2 linked regions of the Kluyveromyces lactis genome follow. The protein of the gene in region 2 interacts with the protein of the main gene of each other region in a pairwise test. Links are inferred from orthologs where the notes say so. Each region holds a gene or a part of one and is shown on either strand. Other genes may lie near its edges.

Region 1 (9,713 bases), on a different chromosome or scaffold from region 2:
ATATATTTTCCCTCTTGAGTCATCATCCATATATCCGTCATTCGCGTCCTGTATTGGAGTATCTAATCCAATGCCATCCGGTACATCGAGGATATCACACGAATTGTCCACAGTTACAAAGTTGGATGTATCCCCCGTGTAAACGGAATTATAATCATACATGTAGTCAAATCCTCTGCTAGTATTCACATTGTGTGATACTGCGTTACCATAATACCATTCATTTTCGTCTTCATCATAATATTCATCGTCAGATCCGTAGTTTAGAGTAGTGGCTGGAAGTGGTTTAATAGTTGCGTTTGGAAATTTGGATAGTGAGAGTGATCTTAAAGAATTTGCAACATCTGTGCCATCACTAGCCCCCGAATTGGTTCGATTTTTTCTAGTATGTGCACTGATAAATAACCCATCATCTTCGTCATCTTCGTCGTCATCTTCATCATAATCGTAGCTGTCAGCGTCTTCATCATCTTCGTCATCGGCGTAATCTTCGACGCTGTTGGCCCCTGAATTTCTATATCCATCGTCAAAGTCAGAATACTGATGCGAAGATCTGGCACCGTCCGACATATCGTCAGAGTGGTAATCGGTATTTGTCATTGGGACTTCGTCATCATTAGGATTAGCGTCTATGGGGTTATGATTAACCGCAATACATTGTTCGACACGGTCATTGAAATGAATATGTCTTTCCCTTTTTTGCTTTTGCTTCATCGATGATGTAAGAATCGATGATAATATGGGAGGATCAGATCTTGCGGATGGGGTTTCTATCACAGAGCCAGAGATTGGACCTGGAGTGGTATTTACTATCGACGAGTTTGTTTCGGTCACAACGGGCGAAATAGATTCCACCGATTCATCAGGCGGTGTATGGATATTTTTGTAATATTGTGCATTCACCTTCGCGGCAATAGCATCATAATCGTCATGCGTTGTCTGACTTGACTGCGGATCCAAAATAGCATGCAAGTCACTAGTTTGCTTTCTGTGCTGCCTTGCTATATCTAATCTCCATTTGGAGTTTTCCTCGATAATTTCACTAACAGTTCTCTTCTTTAGAATAGGTTTAGGACCGGGACTCTGAGACTTTTGGATCAACCTTTTTGAATTTTCATCATCGGAACCATACCCCATGGTGGCCGCATGATTGTTTCCTATTTCAACGTTGGAAGTGGGCTTTGATGACGACGTCGAGTTATTTTGATCGCCCACTACAATCGGACCGTATAACCAAGTTACATCAGAATCCTTTGACCAGTTCAAAGATTCTGGATTCACAGTTTTCAGATTATTTCTAGCCTTTGACCAAGTTCTCCAGGAAGCATTTTCCAACCTTGCAGCATTGATTAAATCTGTGTCCTTCCGTTTCTTTTTCAAAATGATATAACGCCATGACTGAGATATTTCGTTTTCGTTCCATTTATGAGATAAGTAATCCACATGTCTATTGGGTTCATACATCAAGTCGTTGTCATCATGATGAATTAGGAAATCGTCAGTACCCGGGTCTGGAGGAGAATTAGAATCTTCTACATCTTTGTAGTCGTAGTCGTAATCGTAATCTGCTTCGTAGTCATCGTCGTAGTTATCGACTTGCATGTTTTCGTCTGTGTAGTCTTCGTCGGTTCCGCCAACAGTTGTATTGTGTTTATTCAGCCCGGTGTCATTAAGCGTAGTATCATTACCGTCGTTATCGTCATTATAAGAAGTATTATTACTGTTTTTATTGATATTATCAGTTTTGTTTTCGTTGTCGTTGTTGTTGTTGTTGTTGTTGTTGTTGTTGTTGTTGTTGTTGTTGTTAATATTATTCATGCTCCCGCTACTGTCACCACTATTGAGGTCGTTACTCAAGCCATCGATGTTACTGTTAGAGAAGTTATCGGAATCAACAGAGCTCGAACCTGCCAGAAGTTTCTGAGTATCGTCGATGTATGGATCCAACAGTCCCATGGATCGTGTTCTTTTCAAATTGAACGTAGAATTCTTGAAATGGTCGTCGTCATCAGCATGAACCGCCATAGACACAGAAGGACCCATATCGTCGTAATTTGGGACTTGTTTATTTACACTGCTTGTTCCGTATTCATCATTCGATGAGCTTCTGTTCAATGCGACTCTACCCGGGGTAGCATTCCCCTGAGAAGCATTCCCCTGAGCAAAATACGCCGCTAAATTATTCTGCATAATGCAAAGCGTGCTGTGTTTATCTGGTAAAACCTTCTGAATATTATACTCTGCTGTCTTGTTCAACCGCGTGTGTATCACGCAGTAAAAAAGCTAGGTTGAATTATATCAAGTAAGCTCTGCTTGGATGGTAGAAGGTGATTCCTGCGATCCAAAAAAATTAATGGAATAATAAAATAAAATAAAACTGAGAACCAGACAACGAAAGAAGCCTAGGGTATCAAGCGTTATCAGACGCTATCCTTCAGTCCAACAGTAGTATAGTGAGAAATCTGATTTTGCCTAATGAAAGTAGACCAAATAGAAAAATCACACTATCGTTTAACTCTCCTTTATACCACAAATCGCTTCAGGAAAAATAAAGGACTCTCTCTCTGTTAAAGCAGATTGTAACTATCACTGAAAATGCTTAGCACAAAACAAAAATCGTCGAACGAGGCAATCAGAATACACACTTAAACCTGCTCTTCTTCCTATTCCCCCAAACCTTTACATTCTATATGTTCTATATGTTCTATATGTTCTTTGTTCTTTTTAAAAAGTGGATTTGAAAGCTCAAACCAAAGTCCAAAAGAAAAGGAAACCAAACTAAATTCCCAAAAAGAAAAACGAAAACAGAATAATGAGTACCGCTTGCCAGTATTGTTCAATAGAAAAGATCGAAAAGGAGGCAAAATTTGTCTATGACGCTTTGGTGCTTACGTCTTACAACAGACCGTGTTTAGACATGTAAGTAAAGTTACAGGGTAATAGAGTATAAACCGATCCTAGTATGGCGGACGCTATATTCTGTTGTGTTTGAATTTATTAATTTACTGAGGAAATACAACTCCTAGCTTTTTTTAATGGAGCTGGTTTCCAAGTTAATTATTCATTTCAATTTTTGGAAATTCTAACTTCCCAAGTTATACATGTATAGCGAGAAAAGAAAATCGCACGGTAGCGGAGCGTTTTGAGTTTGTCGAAGATGAAACGGGAACTGGAACATTTCAGTTGGCCCAGGGGCCAACTAAATTTCAAGGGATTATCCGTTGTTTAGCAGGACAAATTTTTTTTTTTTTTTGTTCATTTTTGTCACTTTGGTCAGTTCTGGATTTTACATGAGTTCTACCTTGATCTATACCATACACTGATTCAGTCAATAGTGGTGTCATCGATTCTTGTCATATGTCGAGACACATTATATAGTCATCTTGCATGATCGGAGCGGGCATCTACTCTCTTTTTATTAAATTTGACAGTACCAGTTACCGTGAATGTCAGTAGGATACATGTTATATAAGCCGAAAAGCTTGCCAGAAGACCTGCCAGAAAACTTCGGATTGATATTTTTTTTCTAGTACTCTGGCACGGTGCAAAGCACATGCTGGATCTGCCAAATCTTACTGTTATGTATCATATAGAGAGAGTATTTTGTATTCTAAAACTTTTGGATAGTTTCGTAGAAAGTCTTACCTTGGATTTCGTGAACCTTCAATTCCAAGTCAGATGGTGTTCTGGAACCATCTGCACCGGCAATGGTACCAGCACCCCATGGAGAACCACCATGAGCTTCGTCTAAGTTTGTCAATTCACCGAAAACGTTTTTGTAACCCAATGGGACGTAAATGATACCGTGGTGGGCTAAAGTGGACAAAGCGTTGACAATAGTCATTTCGTTACCACCACCAGTACCGGTAGAAACAAAGAAACCGGCAACCTTACCGTGCAAGGCACCGCTGGCCCACAAACCACCAGTGGTATCCCAGAAAGCCTTCCATTGAGCTGGGAAGTTACCAAATCTAGTTGGAACACCGAACAAGTAAGCATCATATTCCGTCAAAGTGTCCTTAGAAGCAATTGGATAGTCTGGTTTGGCTGGAGCATGCATCAACTTCAAGACTTCTTCGGATAAAGTTTCTGGTACTTGATAGATGTCAGCTGAACCACCGGCAGCTTCGATACCCTTCTTTTCGTATTCGGCAGTCTTAGCAACATGGCCGTACATAGAATAAATGATAATAGCAACCTTAGCCATTTTTGTTAGATAATTCCGAGTTATATTAGGGTGAGTGAATGAGTAATTCTCGAGGTTTTCAGGAAAGAGATGGAAAGAATTGTAGCTACTAAACTTATTATAATTGAACCCTTTAACTGCAGAAGGCTTCCTTAATTTCCTTTTTTACCTTAGTTATATTTATATAGTGCCTGAAACTGAAAGTTTCAATCCATGTAAGAAAGGGGAAGACTGTAAAAAAAAAAAGGTTCGAAGGGGCCCAGAAAAAGGTGTAGGTGTACAAATCAATAACCTAAAATTAATAATAGACATAGTAAGTAGGGCCAATAAGCCTTACTTAAACTTAATAATCTATATGAGCAATTCTGATCACCCTGTTCTCAATTTCTTCAGAGGAAGATATAGTATTACGGCAAAAGTACGCTATAGATTAGTAAATTTTATAAATCTCAAATATGCGAATATAATTTGTCATAATGAAAAGTCAGCCAATTAAGGCACCTTAATTAAGACGTTACAAACACTATGTAAGTTGATAGTTGTTTCGCTGTCGTATAAACCATAAACATTCATAAGTTATTCTATGTTTATAAATTCTTTGTCAGTGCTTTGTCAGTAGTTTGTTAATACTTAGTAAAATATGATAAATTGAAAAACTGGGGATCACGGGATTGAAAACGCAAACTCCTTACATGTCACGTGCATCATAAGGGCTTCTAATGCTCTGCCGTAATCGGGTTCCTCTTTGAGGACCCCATATAAGTCGAGACATTCTCTACTTTAAAGATGGATCCACCAAGGCCCTCTGGACTTGCGTTATCTTCAATGATTTCGTTTGCTGTGGTAACAAACATGTGACCTTGGGCCAAGGTACATGCAGAGATTCGATTGGTCTCTGGGAACGTCCATTTGTGGATTAGATCTCCTTTGGTATCGTACCTTTGCACCGTACTCGTAGACCATACCGCTGTGATGATATTGTGCGTATCGGGATCGATGAAACTGCCGTCAGGTTCAGGTGAATCGAATTGGGAATTGAACTTCTTAATATCAATGAATAATGCCTTGTCCTCCACGATGAGATTTTTGTCTTGGTACGGATACTTGTAAATCGAGAAGTTTAGAGAATCAGTGAAATATACCGTTGTACCATCCTGGCTCCAATTGATTGCATTGGGAATCATCAATTTATCTATTACCAACTCACATATGTTTTCACGGAGGTTCACTTTTAGTAGTGCGCCCTTTGGGTCCTCTGAATCAACAGTACAATGGAAATCGTTCATAATACCGATGAATATTTCTCCATCTGGAGAGACGTTCCCATCGTTGGATCGTAAACCTGTCCAATCCTTCTGCAATCCGCTGTCACTATAGTGAACCAAGTATTGCCATCTCAAAGTGGTGTAATTCATTCTGGCAATCCCATATTTAGCACCGAAATAAACCTCTTCAACACCATCTGCTCTATCAATTGGGAAAATAGCTCCAATACGTTCTGGTAGATCAGTAGTAAATGGGTACAAGCCCTCATAGTTATCAACTGATGCATGCCATACAGTATGAGTTGAAATATCGTCAATATCAGTCACTCTATGGATGTAGGCATTGTAGATATCAATCCAGAAGAGCGCCTTGGATTCAGCTGCATAGCTGATACCCTCTGATAGTCTGATCTTACTATCGAAATAGTATGGTCCATTCTTATGAACAGTTTCCGTTACTTCGGTCATTGCTTTCTTTATAATTTTTCTTGACAGGCTCAATGCACTTTTCGACTATGGTTCTCGCTCACACTGAGAAGAGAATACAATCAATTTGAAAAACACTCTCTTCCGAATGGTCAAACTCTAATTATATCCGATCAATTTCTTTCATTAGCGAATTCTTATTCTTATTCAATTGCATGATTCTTTTACCACTTATATATACCCTTATTTTGAGAAGATGTTTGCATCTTTGTTGGAGTTTCTGGCTGAAGGAAAACAACGAAGGAATCGGAAAAAACGGAAAAACGGAAAAACAGGCAATAATTAGTTCCGGCCTAATATGATAATCAACACGAAGAAGTTTCTTAAGAAGAACGTATCCTTACCTATATATGTAAATACAAGGCCCAGTTAAATAATTGCTAGTGAACTAGAATATTTTCTCTGATTTTTTTTGATCTGTATTTAAAAAACAGTATAATCTGTCAATGATCACGCTTCATGGCGTAGGTCTTGCGATTTGCTAATAATATTTCTCCAGTTTGATATGTAAACGAAATAGTTCTCGCCAATAGCTAGGAAGAGGACACCTACCCCGATACCTATCCAGAACCCGAGCACTTCCATTTTGAATTTGAACGCTAATAAAATACCGACTTCAAGCCCAACTAGATAGTACGCCATTATGTTTAAATACCCACCGATTCGTTGTCTTCCCTGAGCTCTCAAGACACCTGCAGCCATGACATTGAAGCAATCATATATTTGATTTAATGCGACGACACAGAGTAATCCTGCAGCTTTATTTACCAAAACCGGGTCCGCATTAAACAAAGAACATAACTTGTAACGACCGAAGTACAACACTGTGAAATTTATTATTCCTGCAGCAGGACCAACCCCAAACATAGTTGCTTTCGTCGCTGTCTTGCAGTTTTCCGTGATTCCAGAACCAATGTGATAGGCAATTCTATTGGAAGCAGCCACACTGCAGCTGAAGGGTAATTGGAAGAAAAACGTTTGTAAGGTCGCTACAATACTTTGTGCAGCTAAGACTTCCGTTCCGAATTTCGCGCTTAAAACAGTGATGATCTCGAAAGCAAAAAACTCAGCTTCGATCATGATCAAACCTGGTAGCGCTAAAGCAATAAGGGGACCCCAATTCTTGAAAATTGCCGAGAAATTCCCAGTTATCGGATGCCAGCAGGAAGAATTACCAAAATATATTTGACGACAGATGTATGCAACAATTGTGAGCCCCATAAGAGTATAAGACAGCACCATAGAAATTGGAGATCCGATGTAGCCAAATTTGTACTTTAGAACAAATAAATAATTCAACAATATGTTCAATGGTGCACAGACAAACAGAATGTTTTGTCCAGTTACGAAATCTCCCTGAGCTTGTAAGTACTTCTTACCACATTCGAATATGATATAGCCGGGAAGACTAAGAATCATGATACGCAAATAAACAGCGGCGATATGGACAACGTCAGCGTCCTCCACTAGAAACGATAAAACGTACTCTGAATTATACCAAAATGCAATTACCGGAACGGCAAATAGGAAAGAAATGGCAACACCTCTTTGGAAATACAGTCCCACCATGTTGTACTTACCTGCACCATACGCTTGAGGACAAACCGTATCCAAACATGTTGCAATACCGATAAATATAGCCGAAGTGACCGCGAAAGTGACATTTCCGATCGAAATCCCTCCAACTTCTAAAGTCCCAACCCTTCCAGCGAAAACCAAAGCTGAGGACGATAATGAACATTGCAAGAGAAACGTAATGATTAATGGGATGGAGGTCTTAGTCATATACCAGAACTCATACTCTAAGCTCGTTTCCCCATCCTTTTTCAAGGATTCCACTGTATTGTATCCGCTATCGCCTCCTCTATGGGCAATTAATGAAGAGTCTTCACCTGGTACCATTCATAAATATTTAAAGACTCTATTTGTATCTCTAGAAGCTTTCTTGGCAGGCAATCCTGATACTTTCTATCACAATTTGAAGAACGTATTAAATATAAGAGTAATACCGATATTACACTATTGCTTCATCGTTTCTCTAGAACAGCGACCAGCGATGAAATATCGATGAAAGACGCCGTTACAGAACTACTGGCTAACGGTAAAAGATAACAATGTGATTACTTCTTCATCCTTCCTTTAAATAAAACCAAACATCAAGAGCAGACATCAAATTTACGTACCAATCCTTTTTTTTTTCATCACCATAAAGGGAAATGACTTGATATGGCACTTCACTGAGTAAAGAACATCCACACAAAGTGGCCCGAATGGGGTATCGAAATCAGGCACTAATGCGCCGACAAAACAGAATAGCTATTCTTCTTATCGTGCAGATAAACAGAGAAATTCCACTGATCATGCAGATCGTCGAGGTATAAAAAAGTCTAAAATGGTTCGGAATACAATTCTCACATTCACGCAAAATATTTCCATATTAGGTATCATTTTGCTTTGTGATGAAATCTAAAAACTTAAAACTTGAGGTCGCTGTTGATAGCAGATCCTGGCTTTAATACACATCATGAACTGTTACTCCAAACTAGATAGCAAGCAGGTGCTTAACGTTAATCTCTCCACTTTATCTCTCTTTAGGAATGCATGGGAGATAAAGGATTGAAGGAAAACGATATTTCATATAAAATAGGCAAGCTAATCACTTGGTCGATGAGCTTCATGCATGTTTCCTTCATCTCGAGCTGCTAATAAATGTATAATATAATACCGGAAAACATTAACACTAACAATCCATATTCAGCTCAACCTTACTTGTCAAGACTTGATAACATCCGGTTCAAGACTCAAATCAACCACAATCGGAGTAAGAATCGCTAGAAAAAATCAAGTAAGAATACCTACATTTCTTCTCTTTAAGGCCAATCTACCGTCTATCTTCCAATATCTCCCCTCTTTCACCTATAAGTGACAGAAAGTTACGGCAATCAAGCTATTATAATGATCGAGATGAGTTCATTTGGAAGTAAGCCTGAGGGCTCTGAGAGTGGGAAGACCTTTTACAATTATGAGGTGGATAAGACGATGATCAAGACACCCAGCGTCAAGAATCACGATGTGGAAGATGGTGAATTTGAACAGTACGGTGATGATACTAGCCTATCTTACCGTGATGCTTTTGAAGAAAGCGATGAAGAAGGTCATCAGATTAAATACAAGACTAGTTCATGGCAGCATATTACAGGTCTAATGTTATCAGAATACATCATCTTAGCCATGATGTCTTTCCCATGGTCCTATTCAGTATTAGGTTTAATACCGGGTCTTATTTTAACGGTGTTTGTTGCTGGTGTTGTGTTATACACCAGTTTTATCATTTTAGACTACTGCGAAAAGTTCCCTCATCTTAAAAATGCGTGTGACATCGGACAGCATTTATTTTGGGGAAGTAATTTTGCATGGTATGCAACTGCTGTTTGTTACGTTGCCAACAATACCCTTATCCAGGGTGTGCATGTCTTAGTCGGTGGTAAGTACCTTAATACCATCACAAATCACTCTACCTGTACTGTTGCATTTGGTGTCATTACCGCAATCATTTCTTTTGTGTTTTCTATCCCAAGAACCTTCGCCTCTATGTCTAAAGTTGCATACTTCTCAGCTATTACCATGTTCATTTCGGTAATACTGGCTATCATCTTTGTAGGAATCCAGGATCACCCGGTTGGTTATGATGGTACTCATTTGACATTCAGTTTATGGCCACAGAAGGGCACAAGTTATGTAGATGCAATGGGTGCATTTTTGAACATTGTGTACGT
Region 2 (12,199 bases):
GAATCTTCGCCCAATTCTGCTCCATCAATTCATCACCCTAAAATGCTATCCAACGGTGTGAAGAATAAAACCCTAAAAGAGCTATTAGGATCTTCTGAAGATAATACATCAAAAAAGTTCCCCAACGTACCAGTTGTGATTGATCCCAAATTGGCTAAGATTTTAAGACCGCATCAAGTTGAGGGTGTTAGATTTTTGTATAGATGTGTTACTGGTTTAGTCATGAAAGACTTTTTGGATGCCAAAACAGTGTTGGACTCAAGCTCTCAATCAATGGAAAAAGCTGATACACAAGCTGATTCTAACATAACAGGTTCGAAATCACCGGTTGAAACTGATGTCTCGTCCCTTAAAGACGTTATTAAAATCAATGAAAATTCTAGAAACAGGGGAGCCTATGGGTGTATTATGGCAGATGAAATGGGATTGGGTAAGACATTACAATGCTTAGCGTTAATGTGGACCATGTTGAAACAAGGTCCGCAAGGTAGGAGATCAATTGATAAATGTATTATTGTGTGTCCATCATCTTTAGTCAACAATTGGGCAAATGAAATTGACAAATGGTTGGGACCAGGTTCTCTTTCTTCATTGGCTATTGACGGTAAAAAGTCCAGTCTAAATAATGGAAATGTGGCGGATTCAGTGAGTCATTGGGCTTCAGCTCAAGGTAGAAATATCGTCAAACCTGTCCTCATCATTTCTTATGACACTTTAAGGCGTAATGTCGAACAGTTAAAGAACTGTGAGGTTGGACTAATGTTAGCAGATGAGGGGCATCGTTTGAAGAATGCAGATTCCTTAACATTCACGGCATTGGATTCCATTAGGTGTCCGAGAAGAGTTATTCTATCGGGAACTCCGATTCAAAATGATTTATCGGAGTATTTTGCATTATTAAATTTCTCAAATCCCGGATTGTTGGGTTCCAGAAATGACTTTAGGAAAAACTTCGAATTACCGATTTTACAGAGTAGAGATTCATTGGCTACAGATGAAGAGGTCACTTTGGGTAAGGATAGGTTGAGACAACTTTCAAACATTGTCTCGAAGTTCATTATCAGGCGTACCAACAATATTTTGGCAAAATATCTACCTTGCAAATACGAGCATGTTATATTCATAAATTTAACACCATTTCAGCAATCTCTATATCAGCATTTCATTGAATCAAGAGCTGTTAAGAAGATCGTTAAAGGGGATAGTAACCAACCGTTGAAGGCAATCGGTTTGTTAAAAAAATTATGTAACCATCCAGACTTATTAGAGCTATCTGAAGACATTCCGGGTTCAGAAGAGTTAATACCCGACGATTATCAATCTTCTGTTGACTCCCGCACTTCAAGAAATAGAAGCGTTATTCAGACAGCTTTTTCCAGTAAGTTTTCGGTCTTGGCAAGATTTTTGTACAAAATTAAAACGGAGTCTAACGACAAGATTGTGTTGATTTCAAACTATACCCAGACGCTAGACTTGATTGAAAAAATGTGTTTTAGTAACCACTATGGCGTATTGAGATTGGATGGTACCATGAACATCAATAAAAGACAAAAGTTAGTGGACCGGTTCAATGATCCGGAGGGACAAGAGTTTATATTTTTGTTAAGTTCCAAGGCCGGTGGTTGCGGTATAAACTTGATTGGTGCCAACAGATTGATTTTATTAGATCCAGATTGGAACCCGGCTGCAGATCAACAAGCTTTGGCTAGAGTTTGGAGAGATGGGCAAAAGAAAGATTGTTTTATCTACAGATTCATTAGTACTGGTACCATTGAAGAGAAGATTTTCCAAAGACAATCGATGAAGATGAGTTTGAGTTCATGTGTTGTGGATGAAAAGGAGGATGTTGAACGATTGTTCAGTTCGGATAATTTGAAGCAATTGTTCAAACTTGATACAAAAACCATATGTGATACCCATGAGACATATAATTGTAAACGCTGTAAGAATGGAAAGCAAATTTTGAAAGCTCCGGTAATGCTATACGGTGACGCGACTTCGTGGAATCATTTGAATCACGATGCATTAGCAAAAACAAACGACCATCTCTTGAAAAATGAATTCAATCACAAAGACATCAGTTTTGCATTTCAATATATATCGCATTGATCTTTCATTTTTTTAAAGTACATTTTAATTTCACTACTATATAGACGCATTAATAAATTCGGTTTCTGGGCGGTTCGGAACAGATAACTCGGTTAATATGAAGAGGCAACTCAAGTTTTCGAGATCTTTGAGCCGATCCTAATTTATATAAATACAGTTTGAATATGGATTTCCATATTAAAGCTAATTTTATTACGAGTATGTTTGAATAGAGTTACATGAACATATGTACTTACCCTAGAATAAGGTAGTTTAAGAATTATAAGTGTGTCATCAAATCATCAATGTCTGCGAATTCAACGGGGAACAGGTCGTTAGGAGAGGGGTTATTACCTTCACTAGTGCCACTGAACAGAGAGTTGTTATCGATGATGTTTTGGTTCACCATATTTGATTGTTTCAGTGCCTGGTTGAAGTCAGTGGTGAATGACGGTTCTACAAAGGATGGCGCTACTCCGACCTTCTCGATGCTGAATACGGATGGATCTCCGTACTGTGTATTAGCACTTAGAACTGTATTGGTGGAATCCGCTGGTGAGTTGAAATGATTACCAGATGCCGGAAGTGCTGTGCTGTTAGTTTCTGCTGGTGAAACCATAGACTTGATTTGTGGCGTAGAAGTGTTGGGTACATTTTTCGGATGTCTCTTCCTTTTATTCTCATTGTCATAACGATGATTTTTGTGTATACTAACGGAACGTTCCCTTCTAGAATTGACGCTCTTCCAACTTATAAATGGATTTGTAGATGAGTTTGAACCGATACTCGGTGGCTTTGATTCCGGAATATCCATAAAGCTAGGAGTTATAGATAGAACTTCGACGCTTCGTACGCTGTCCGTATCAAAGCCATATACATTTTGAGATTGGTCCACTTGAACAGGGTTAAGATATCCGCGTCCATTATTAGAATGATGAAGCATATCCTGGTAGTGATGAGCGTTACCACTATGAAGCATAGAAGACAGAGAATCCGAACTGTTTAATGAACTAATGAAATCATTGTTTGATGATGCCACGGAGTCATGAGAAGATATATTTGACACAAAAGAAGATGAACGGCCAGCGACTGAGAGTGGAACGCGTTGGGTTGATCCACTCTTTGAAATGTTATCTACATTGTTACGCAAATGTTGTTCGCTAAGAGCCTTCCGTTGCTCTTTCAACTGATTATAACTCAAAGATTTCGAAGTATCCGCGAAATACGTCACATTTGGGGCATCTGCAGAGACGTCATTGTAGATAGATACGTGCTCTCCCATGAGAAGTGGATTGATGTGATCGGCTTGGTCCTCTGAAGAAGCAATATTCGTTGGGACGTATTCCGTAAGCGGAATGAAAACTTCACCGACTTTAGTCCTCGTCTTGGGTGTGATAGGTTTCATGGTACTTAGAGGTTCTAATCCGATTGTATTTTTACTATCCGGTCCGTTACCAGGTGGAGACCGATTAGAACTTGACAGCGACGCATTATCCCAGCCAGTGGAAAAGCTTGTATTCATAGAGATCGGAGACGCCAGGAAGTTCGATAAATCCTGATCGACAGAATGTGACGAATCCAGAGAATGTAGAGATTGGTGTGAATATCCGCTATTAGTATGTTTTGATATTTTACCATTGATATCCAGTCCTACAGCGGAATTGCCTTGATGTGATTGTTTTTTCCTTCTTGGCGCACGCTTCTTATGACACGGGCAGTGATCCGGATCATTCTTACAAACACATCCCGATTCTTCTCTTGCCTTCTGTGCGATCCGTTTCTTCTCTTGTCGCCCACAAGTGCATTGGCCCGATGGATTCGCATTCCTGTTCTTCCGTAGTTCTTTACAATGAGCACAAGTCGTTGACGGCCTACCTTTCGGTTTAATCATAGTCAACGGCTGATCTGTATGGTTACATGTAGTCACTCTGTGTCCTCTAATACACCTTTCACAGGCATATTTCACACCGTTGATAAGAACCATTGTGTGCTATTTGAATGCGATACAGAATGTGTCTGTGCTGTCTTCAGTGAATAATAACCACAAAAAAAGCTTCAAAAGTCAGCAGTAAGAAGCCAGCAAAGGGACAATGAAAATGACAATTAGGGAGTGTGAATATTAAGACAAATGAATTAGATTAGGTCACTCCAATATGTGTGTTTTCTTTTTCTTTCCTTAAAGTTGATTAAGCCGTTGTCTGACTAAAAATCCTACCAGAAAGAGAAGAGAAAGAAAAAAAGGAAGATATTCAGCCTTATAATTGGGGGTTGGATACTGAGAACGTGAACAGAATAAGCCAGAGACAGCAGTTTCTCTATCAATCTCCTCAAATACTAGTCAAAAACACTGATATATAGTATCTTTTTTTTATCTCTCAAAATTTGACCTTTAAAAGTTCTGTTGAAATTTTTAAACCTAGTAAGTAATGTCTCTGTAAAATTTCAGTACACATCAAATCAAATACAAGTACAGTGAGTAAAGTTGGGAAGGAGAAGTATTCGTAGCAGATTCTTTCAGAAAATAGCGTCAAATGGTACAACACAAGTAATATGGATACCGAGTTATTCCTGTATACCAGCCGTTAATTCTTAAACCTTATGAGTAACGAAGGCAATTGAGGAATACTTACAGTACTTCTCTTTTCAATTTTTTTTTTCCTATAATTTTTTCCAAAAGAAAAAAAGGTATTAAGACAACAAAGAAGAAGTTCGGTATGTAGTAGCTTGATTATCTTAGGTCTAATTAGGAAAGTGGAAAAAAGCAGTTTTGAAACGCTGAAAGCTATCTATGTTTAATGGTATAGCGGGATGTAGAGCTCAATCAGGGTAGGAAATAAGTCTTTCAGCTCCGATTATTGCAGATCTATATATATATATATATATATATATATATATATGTATTCTGTTTGATAAGAATGTTTGATATGTCCGTATATGTATGTGAACAGCTGTTTGCGGGTAATGATTTTAAAGCCTTCAAGACTCTTCCATTCGTACAGGAATTTCAAGTGTTGTGCAGTGTCTTCTCCGCCAATGTGCACCGGAAATTAGAAAAAGAAATTTCATTTCGACATGCTTCGAGAGGCACCTCGTCAAGCTGCGTTCTTCTGTCTTATTCGGATGGTAAGGGTAGGACGACACATACATCATTATACTCTGTACTAACAGCGTTGGGCAAGGTGCGGAGACGTACACACGCCATTGTAAGAGGAATTGTTACACGATTCAGGAGAGAGGGGAGGTGGTCTAAGCCGGTTTTCGTTCAGTAGTCATCAGGGTTCCCAACTGATAAATATTTGTTGCTTCCATTTCCCAGATGAATATAGAGTTTTACCCAACTGGCAACTATGCAGTTAACTTGCTAATCGATAAACCAAAAGATACTTTACATTATATTTGATTGTTTACAGGTGTACATACTTCTGATAAAAGAACTAGTGAAAATTAGTAGTGACCCACTTATTTCACGAGTTCGACGTTGACTTTGGTAGTGTCACCTTTGTTAACGACGACGTTACCTTCTTCGTCGACGCCCAAATTGTTGACTTGTTTGAACAATTCCTCTTGTTCAGCAGCGGTCAACTCTTCGTTCTGCTTACGTTTTAAATAGTAGCTTGGCTTCAATTGTCTCAGTTTTAGATTCTTACAGAATGGTAAATGGCCATTTCTTTCTTCGTACATCATTAGTCCGATAACAATCATTAAGACCAACCAGTACAAGTTGTAAGCAAGGATGGATGACAAATAACCAGTGTTTTGCCAGCCCAACAACGAGTTGAAGATATCCCAACCGTTGTCCAATTCCGGGTTACAACAGTTAACGTGGTACACGGTTCTTAAGATGTTATAGGACCCGTTACCATCACCGGATTCGGATGCGTCACCACCGGTCTTCTTGTTGAAGTAATAGTTATCGAAGTACCACACACCTCTGGAGAACAACCCGGAAGCAATCAAGTAAAGAACACAAGTAGAAATGACCAAGAAGATTTGTAGAGATGACTTAGAAGTACCGTAGTACAACAAAGTACCTACGATGATACCAGCAATTAACCCAATGACGACAGGCAATGGGTACGCAGTGGCCTTGGAATCCTTGGTGGTAATACCGGCACCAGCAACGAACACGACGGCTTCCAAACCTTCTCTCAAAACAGTGATAAATGGCAACAAAAACATAGAATATCTGGTAGCCCAGTATTTAAGACTCCATTTCTTACGTCTGTCCTTTGGAACTTCAAGCATGGCCTTGGCAATCTTAACTCTCCATTTGGCTTGCATCTTGTTGACTCTTAACATAGCAATACCCATGACAGAAATCATTAAGGTAGCGATGATACAGAAGACACCTTCCCATAAATCTTCAGCAGAACCGAAAATATCATTTTCGTAACGGTAGTAAGCACCAATGAAACCACCACCAATGGCCATACAAATGATGAAACCAGCAACAACACCGATCCAGACATGCATTCTCAACCTTTTATAAGTGGCCATATCATTAGAACCGATGGATTGTTTCAAGAAAGAAAGCAACACGGAAACAATCACCGCTGCTTCTAAACATTCTCTGAACACAACGAAGAACACAGCAACGTTGAAAACCTTGTTAGCAGCCATGACTGATTGGTTGTAGTTTGTTCAGAATTTACGGATGTTATAGTTGTATTCTGATAAAATCAAATTACAACACATATCAAAAAGCATCAAAAATATGTTCATAACATAACCTTCCACATCGCATGCGATGGAATATTAACACCTGAGGAGACAAACAAAAACATCAACATGGGGTCCAGTTTCGCATACTTATATATTCTGAACCATTCAATATCGAATGAAGGTGACAGAAACCTTCCCTGAAAAATATGATTTATGCACCCAAAACTTTATCATCTTCCAATATTACACCTTGGTACATGCACCCTTCCCCTGCTCTTGAGGTCTTGGCTTTTTCGGTGTTTTTTTTTTGTCAATTCCAATTCCACATACAAAACTGTAAATGTCGAGGATAGAACCGCAAGCAGCATTGCAATTGGTGGTTTTTAGCATTTTCAGCTAGCAAAATTCCTACACCGCTACAAATCGAGATGTTACTCAAATAACAGGCTATCAAAGTACAGGGCTATGTGTGGACTAGATAATACGTTTTAGGTTCAATATTTTAGACTTTGCCCAAATAATACCCATACGGCCAGTAAACTGACAGTACCAAGAAATCCGTAGTGGGAAAAACTATGAAGGGAAAAAATTGGGTAAAGAATGGAATAGATGTCTAGGCAAAAAAACACAAAAAATGGTATAAGTTTCCACTTAGAAAGGATAGTTGAAATTGGAAAGGTATAACGGATTGGATTAATTTGGCTTCAACAGTGTTTCCATTACTGAAGCGGAAGACGAAAAAAAAAGCAATGGTATGGTACTGATTATTAAAGGGAATGGAGAGAGGAAGAGATATACCCATCCTGCGTCAAATACAGTCTTGGTTATGAAATCAGGTGTAAGAGTTCTAGTTGAGGAAAAGTATGGCAGGAAAATTAAATCCTATCTGAAAGCGTAGTATAGGGTGTATATGTTACAATCTAAATTGATGTGATTTTCATTTCCTTTCTTTCCCATTTCTCCTGAGAATAAGCGCATAAGGCTTCTTCACTGCATGGATTTCTGTATATGATGTTACTTCCGAAGTACTGACTTGACCTCTTGGCATTTTCCGTTGGCCAATAACCAATTTTTGCCATGAAAAAAACTTTGGAAAAAAGTATGAGTGTGATAGAATAAATTACAATCTAGCTTTGAGGTACGTTATTACTACAGATAGATAGATGGTACCGCTTCATATCATCTGCATACCCAGTAAAAAAGTAACGAGAATAGCTAGGGCTCATACAATCTCATTCAATATTCCGAAACCCACAAATTTCTTTTGATTAGGCTCGTTCTAGCTCTTTCCCGATTGACATTTTCCCACTTGCCCCATAACACTCTGTGTATATCTTGTTAATGGTGTCATTATAGTTCCTCATTAACTTTCCTCATATCCCATCCCCTACCCTTTGCCTAGTTTCATATTCTTTTCTTGTCCTGCCTTAGCATTTCTTAGTTTTTTTTTTTTTTTCTTTCTTTCTACTGCTTTACTTGATTTACGGGTGCGCTCTTAGAAGTGTTCTGTAAAGTTTACAAAGGTCTAGAAGCTGCTGTAAGTCCGTCACAGACTCTAGGTATTGATTGAATTGGGAATCTTCCGCTTTGTATAGCTGATTTTCTATAAGATCTCGGGACCGTGATAGTACGGTCACGTGGTAACTGTAGATTTCATTTCGTAACATTGTCACGCATATTTCCAATCCTTCGTCGTGGTGTCGTAGAGCTTGAAGTGCTACAGCATTGCGCCTTTGTTGGTTCTTTAAGATTTCTTTCAACTGTTCGTTTTGTTTGGTCACGTGATGTAACATGTTGTCCTCTTCATTCCCATCTTCTTCTTCTTCATCCTGAATTGAGAGTTCCTCGTCTTTCAACCTTTTGTATATAAATTGCTTTGTGACATTGATGTCCGGTGATACGTCCACATTGCCATGGTTCAACTGCCTGGATAGAAGGTCCACATCCTGCAAAACAGCATCTCTCATATTTTCGTTCGTTTTCAATTGGGCGGAAAGTTCATGCACTAGTTCATACATGTAATCTAAATTTTCAGTTTGTGCTCCCATGAACAATACAGGCTGATTTTCAGCGTCTTTGCCGCTTTCCATGATTATTGTTGGTTTGCTATTGAGATATGCGGTTGGTTACTGTACAAACTGAGAGAATTATCTTAACAGATATCGAGGAATAGCCGTGTATTTGCCTCTGTTCTTTTACATTTTCCTTATTTTATTGTTCTTGATTACTGCTATTAGACATTATTGTATGCAGAAACAGAAGTCGAGAGAATAAAGAAAATGGAATGCTATCCATATTGATCACGTGACCTCTGAATCGTTTTATACGCGTTGCATCTTGAAACGATTCAGAGGACGCTCGGCGGCTAAATTGATAATAAAATAAAAAGTGCTCCTTATTTCTTAAAGTTCGTTAGTTGTTACTTCTCATTAATATTTATGAGTAAAACTATATCGATGTGTATGTCAATACACAGAGTTCTAAACAGGTTATTGTTGCTAGGAAACTCGTTCACATAATGGCAGAGGTGGGAGTCAGAATAGCCCAAGATCAGAACATTGCAACAGTGTGGTTGTTATCCAGTTTGGGAGCGTCCCACTCAGTGAATGTGAAGAAAAGAGAGATAGTCAAAGTTTCCATTCCTCATGCTTGCCAAATATTAGCATCTGGGCAAGTATCGATGCCTTTACGCCATACTGGACAGTTGTTATACGGTGTCACAGTGTGCTATGAACGGAAGACTGGATTCATTTTAGCAGATGTTACCAGCTTGAGAGACGCATTGCAAAGACAATGGATAGGTTTGAAACCTCTGGGGAAAAGTACTGGTGGTTCCGGTGGTCATAACAAAACAAAAATGGTACAGAACCAAGTCATCACTGAAACTGGTGATAATTTCTTGCAGGATGATCCAAATTTTGATATGATGATGCAATTGAAGATGGACAACAATTTGGATTTCCTCCTTAACGGAAATAATAATACAAATGACAGACAAATTTTGACCAATTCAACAAGGGCTCCAGTACTTGCCGATAAGCAGGCAATCAGGCAGGACGACATGTGGAGAGAAATGGAAATTGGTAACGAGCCGTATTTGAATGCAAGATCAAGAGGTAATACGGTAAATAGTGGTCATGATTTTCATATTAATGGTGATGCTGACGAATATGAGGATGATGATTTGGCTCCCATTGACGTAGAATTGAATTTCAGACTCGACGAAGTATTAACTGACAATGAAGCAGAGACCGCTAATTTAAGTTCAGTGCACAGTGACCTTGGTCTGAATTACGATAACGATGCGACTCATGGAATAGATCTTGGTATGCCAGTGCTTGATGAAACAGAAACTTCTAATCCACATTTGCAACAAATGAAAAGAAGATTAGGTCTCGACAATGAAGATGAAGATGAAGACGGGAATACATTAAACGAAGTAGAAGTAAACGCCAAAAGCACAAAAAATAAAAAGCGAAGAACGGTGGCTAATTGGTTCCAAAAGATCAAGGTTGATAGTACGATTGGCTTATTAACAGATACATTGCGCTACAATCATGAAAATTACAAGGACATTATGAGAGATTTACATGCCCGTAGATCGTCAAAATCAAAACCTATGATCTCTGACTGGAAAGAATTGTTTACTGATGAAGATCGGCCAAGGCAGATGCTAAATTTTTACTCTGAACTCTTCCAACCATTGAGCTCTATCAATTTTCCGCAAGGTAGAAGAGGAAGAGTAATGCACTCTGCAGGAGATACGTCTAGATCTAGCAGCGTTTTGAGTTTAGAACATGGAAGAAGAATGGACTTTTCGAACGTATCCAGTAGTGGTGATTCCAACAGGATTCATCTTCACAACTTACCTGAACAAATAAACGAGTATCCTGAGTATATGGACATGCCAATGGATGATCCCCAATTTATGGAACTTGATATCCCTCCCTCAAGTTTTGGTAGAAGCACAAACAGAAACTATACTGCCAATTCAGACAATCTCGAAAACTTAAGAGGATATCCAAATCGAAGAAGAGGAGCGATAAGAGGAGACAGCGGTTCTGCGGACTACCTTTCAGGATCAGATTCAATTCCACAGACATTTAATGAAAATCAACAGCAGCTTATCGTGCATGATAAGCAGACAGAAAAATTCTTTCAATATATTGTTGAGAGAGGACAACACATAGGTAAAAGAACTGCCGCTTTCCCAGGTTATTCCAGAAAATTCCTTTTTGAAGATATTATCCCAAGTAAGTTAAGTCAGGAAGAAGATGAAGAGATTATACCTGTTACTAAAAGAATTGCCTGTAATGCCTTTTTGTCGCTTTTACAATTGGCTACTTCGAGCAAGTTGAAAATTGATCTTTATAATGTAGAGCCTGAAAAGGTGTTCAGGGTACTAAATGGAGATGATATCATTGTATATTGCTAACTGGATCGAGTGAGAGTGTTTTTTTTTTAATAACTGACGTTCGGTTCTCTTGAGAGTGATTCTTCTTTCAAGCCCCATTTTTTGAGTAAATTTATAGTCTTCATATATTACACTGGAGCTACATAATAGCTAACTAAGGTAATACACTAATCCAGAATTTGGCTGTTTCCAAACGGTCGTTCTCTGAATCTCTTACAGAGAAAGTAACAGTGTTCAGACCTTCTGCCAACTTGATATCGTATCTTGCTTTACTTTCGTCGAATTTATCCCCATCTAATACTGGTATTGGGTTTACTTTATCCTTGTTTGCTATCAAAACTGCAGGGCTATCTTCTGAAACAGGAGAGCTTAATTGTGAAACCACAGTAATTGAATTTTGTTTTGGTGGTAGTGTAATAGCATATTCGTGGCTGGTTTGGGTGAGGGCACCATCTGCGAATATGTATTCGAACCAAGTGATATTGTCGGAATTCTGATACAGTCCCTTCAGTGGTCGTATTGATTGTTCATAAAAACTTCTAGAAGAAGAAATCTGAATCTTTTCTATCACTTTATAAGGCACTGGCTCTGTCTTTGGTTCAATGTTGTGCTTTTTTATAACAGGAAGGATGTTAAATTTCAAGGGAAGTGGTTTATCTGGTTCATTGTTTTCAACTTTCGAGTCTGCAGTTTTACTTGTTTTTGATGGTCCCAAAAGGTAATCTCTAGACATTGGGCCTCGATTATATCCATTTCCTAGTCCCTCTATATAATTGTATTCTTCGTTAGTTTCATCATCATCAGAAAGAATTGGTTCTTCCTCTTCTTCTTCTTGTACGAACTGTTTATATTCAATTTTGTCGTATTCCAGCGTGATTTCTCCTTTTTCTCTAGCAGTTTCTAATTCAGGGAAGAACCTTCTTTGGATCAATACACTAAAACATTTCATCAGCTTCAATGCATCGCTATATATTGTAGTATCTTCGTCATTGAAAACCAATGCGTTTTGAAACGTCAAATTAACATCGGTAATGA

Evidence for each region. The genes of interacting proteins can lie anywhere in the genome.
Region 1: the proteins of FTR1 (region 2) and KLLA0_F04323g interact in a protein complementation assay, tested with the Saccharomyces cerevisiae proteins (2 studies listed by BioGRID). The link is inferred for Kluyveromyces lactis from reciprocal best matches to the Saccharomyces cerevisiae genes FTR1 and PST2.

The regions. Positions count from the first base shown.
Region 1 is NC_006042.1:405,637-415,349, reverse strand, and holds KLLA0_F04323g (uncharacterized protein), read right to left. Parts: upstream 4,208-9,713; coding exon 3,611-4,207; downstream 1-3,610. Other genes in the region: RPI1 (protein phosphatase regulator REG1), read right to left, coding at 1-2,190; KLLA0_F04301g (regucalcin), read right to left, coding at 4,903-5,919; KLLA0_F04279g (MATE family efflux transporter), read right to left, coding at 6,388-7,839; KLLA0_F04257g (uncharacterized protein), read left to right, coding at 8,893-9,713.
Region 2 is NC_006037.1:261,426-273,624, reverse strand, and holds FTR1 (high-affinity iron permease FTR1), read right to left. Parts: upstream 6,709-12,199; coding exon 5,548-6,708; downstream 1-5,547. Other genes in the region: DNA-dependent ATPase RAD54, read left to right, coding at 1-2,109; CUP2 (Cup2p), read right to left, coding at 2,369-4,072; FAR7 (Far7p), read right to left, coding at 8,232-8,840; REC8 (Rec8p), read left to right, coding at 9,269-11,185; RSC4 (Rsc4p), read right to left, coding at 11,319-12,199. UniProt on the Saccharomyces cerevisiae protein: Permease for high affinity iron uptake.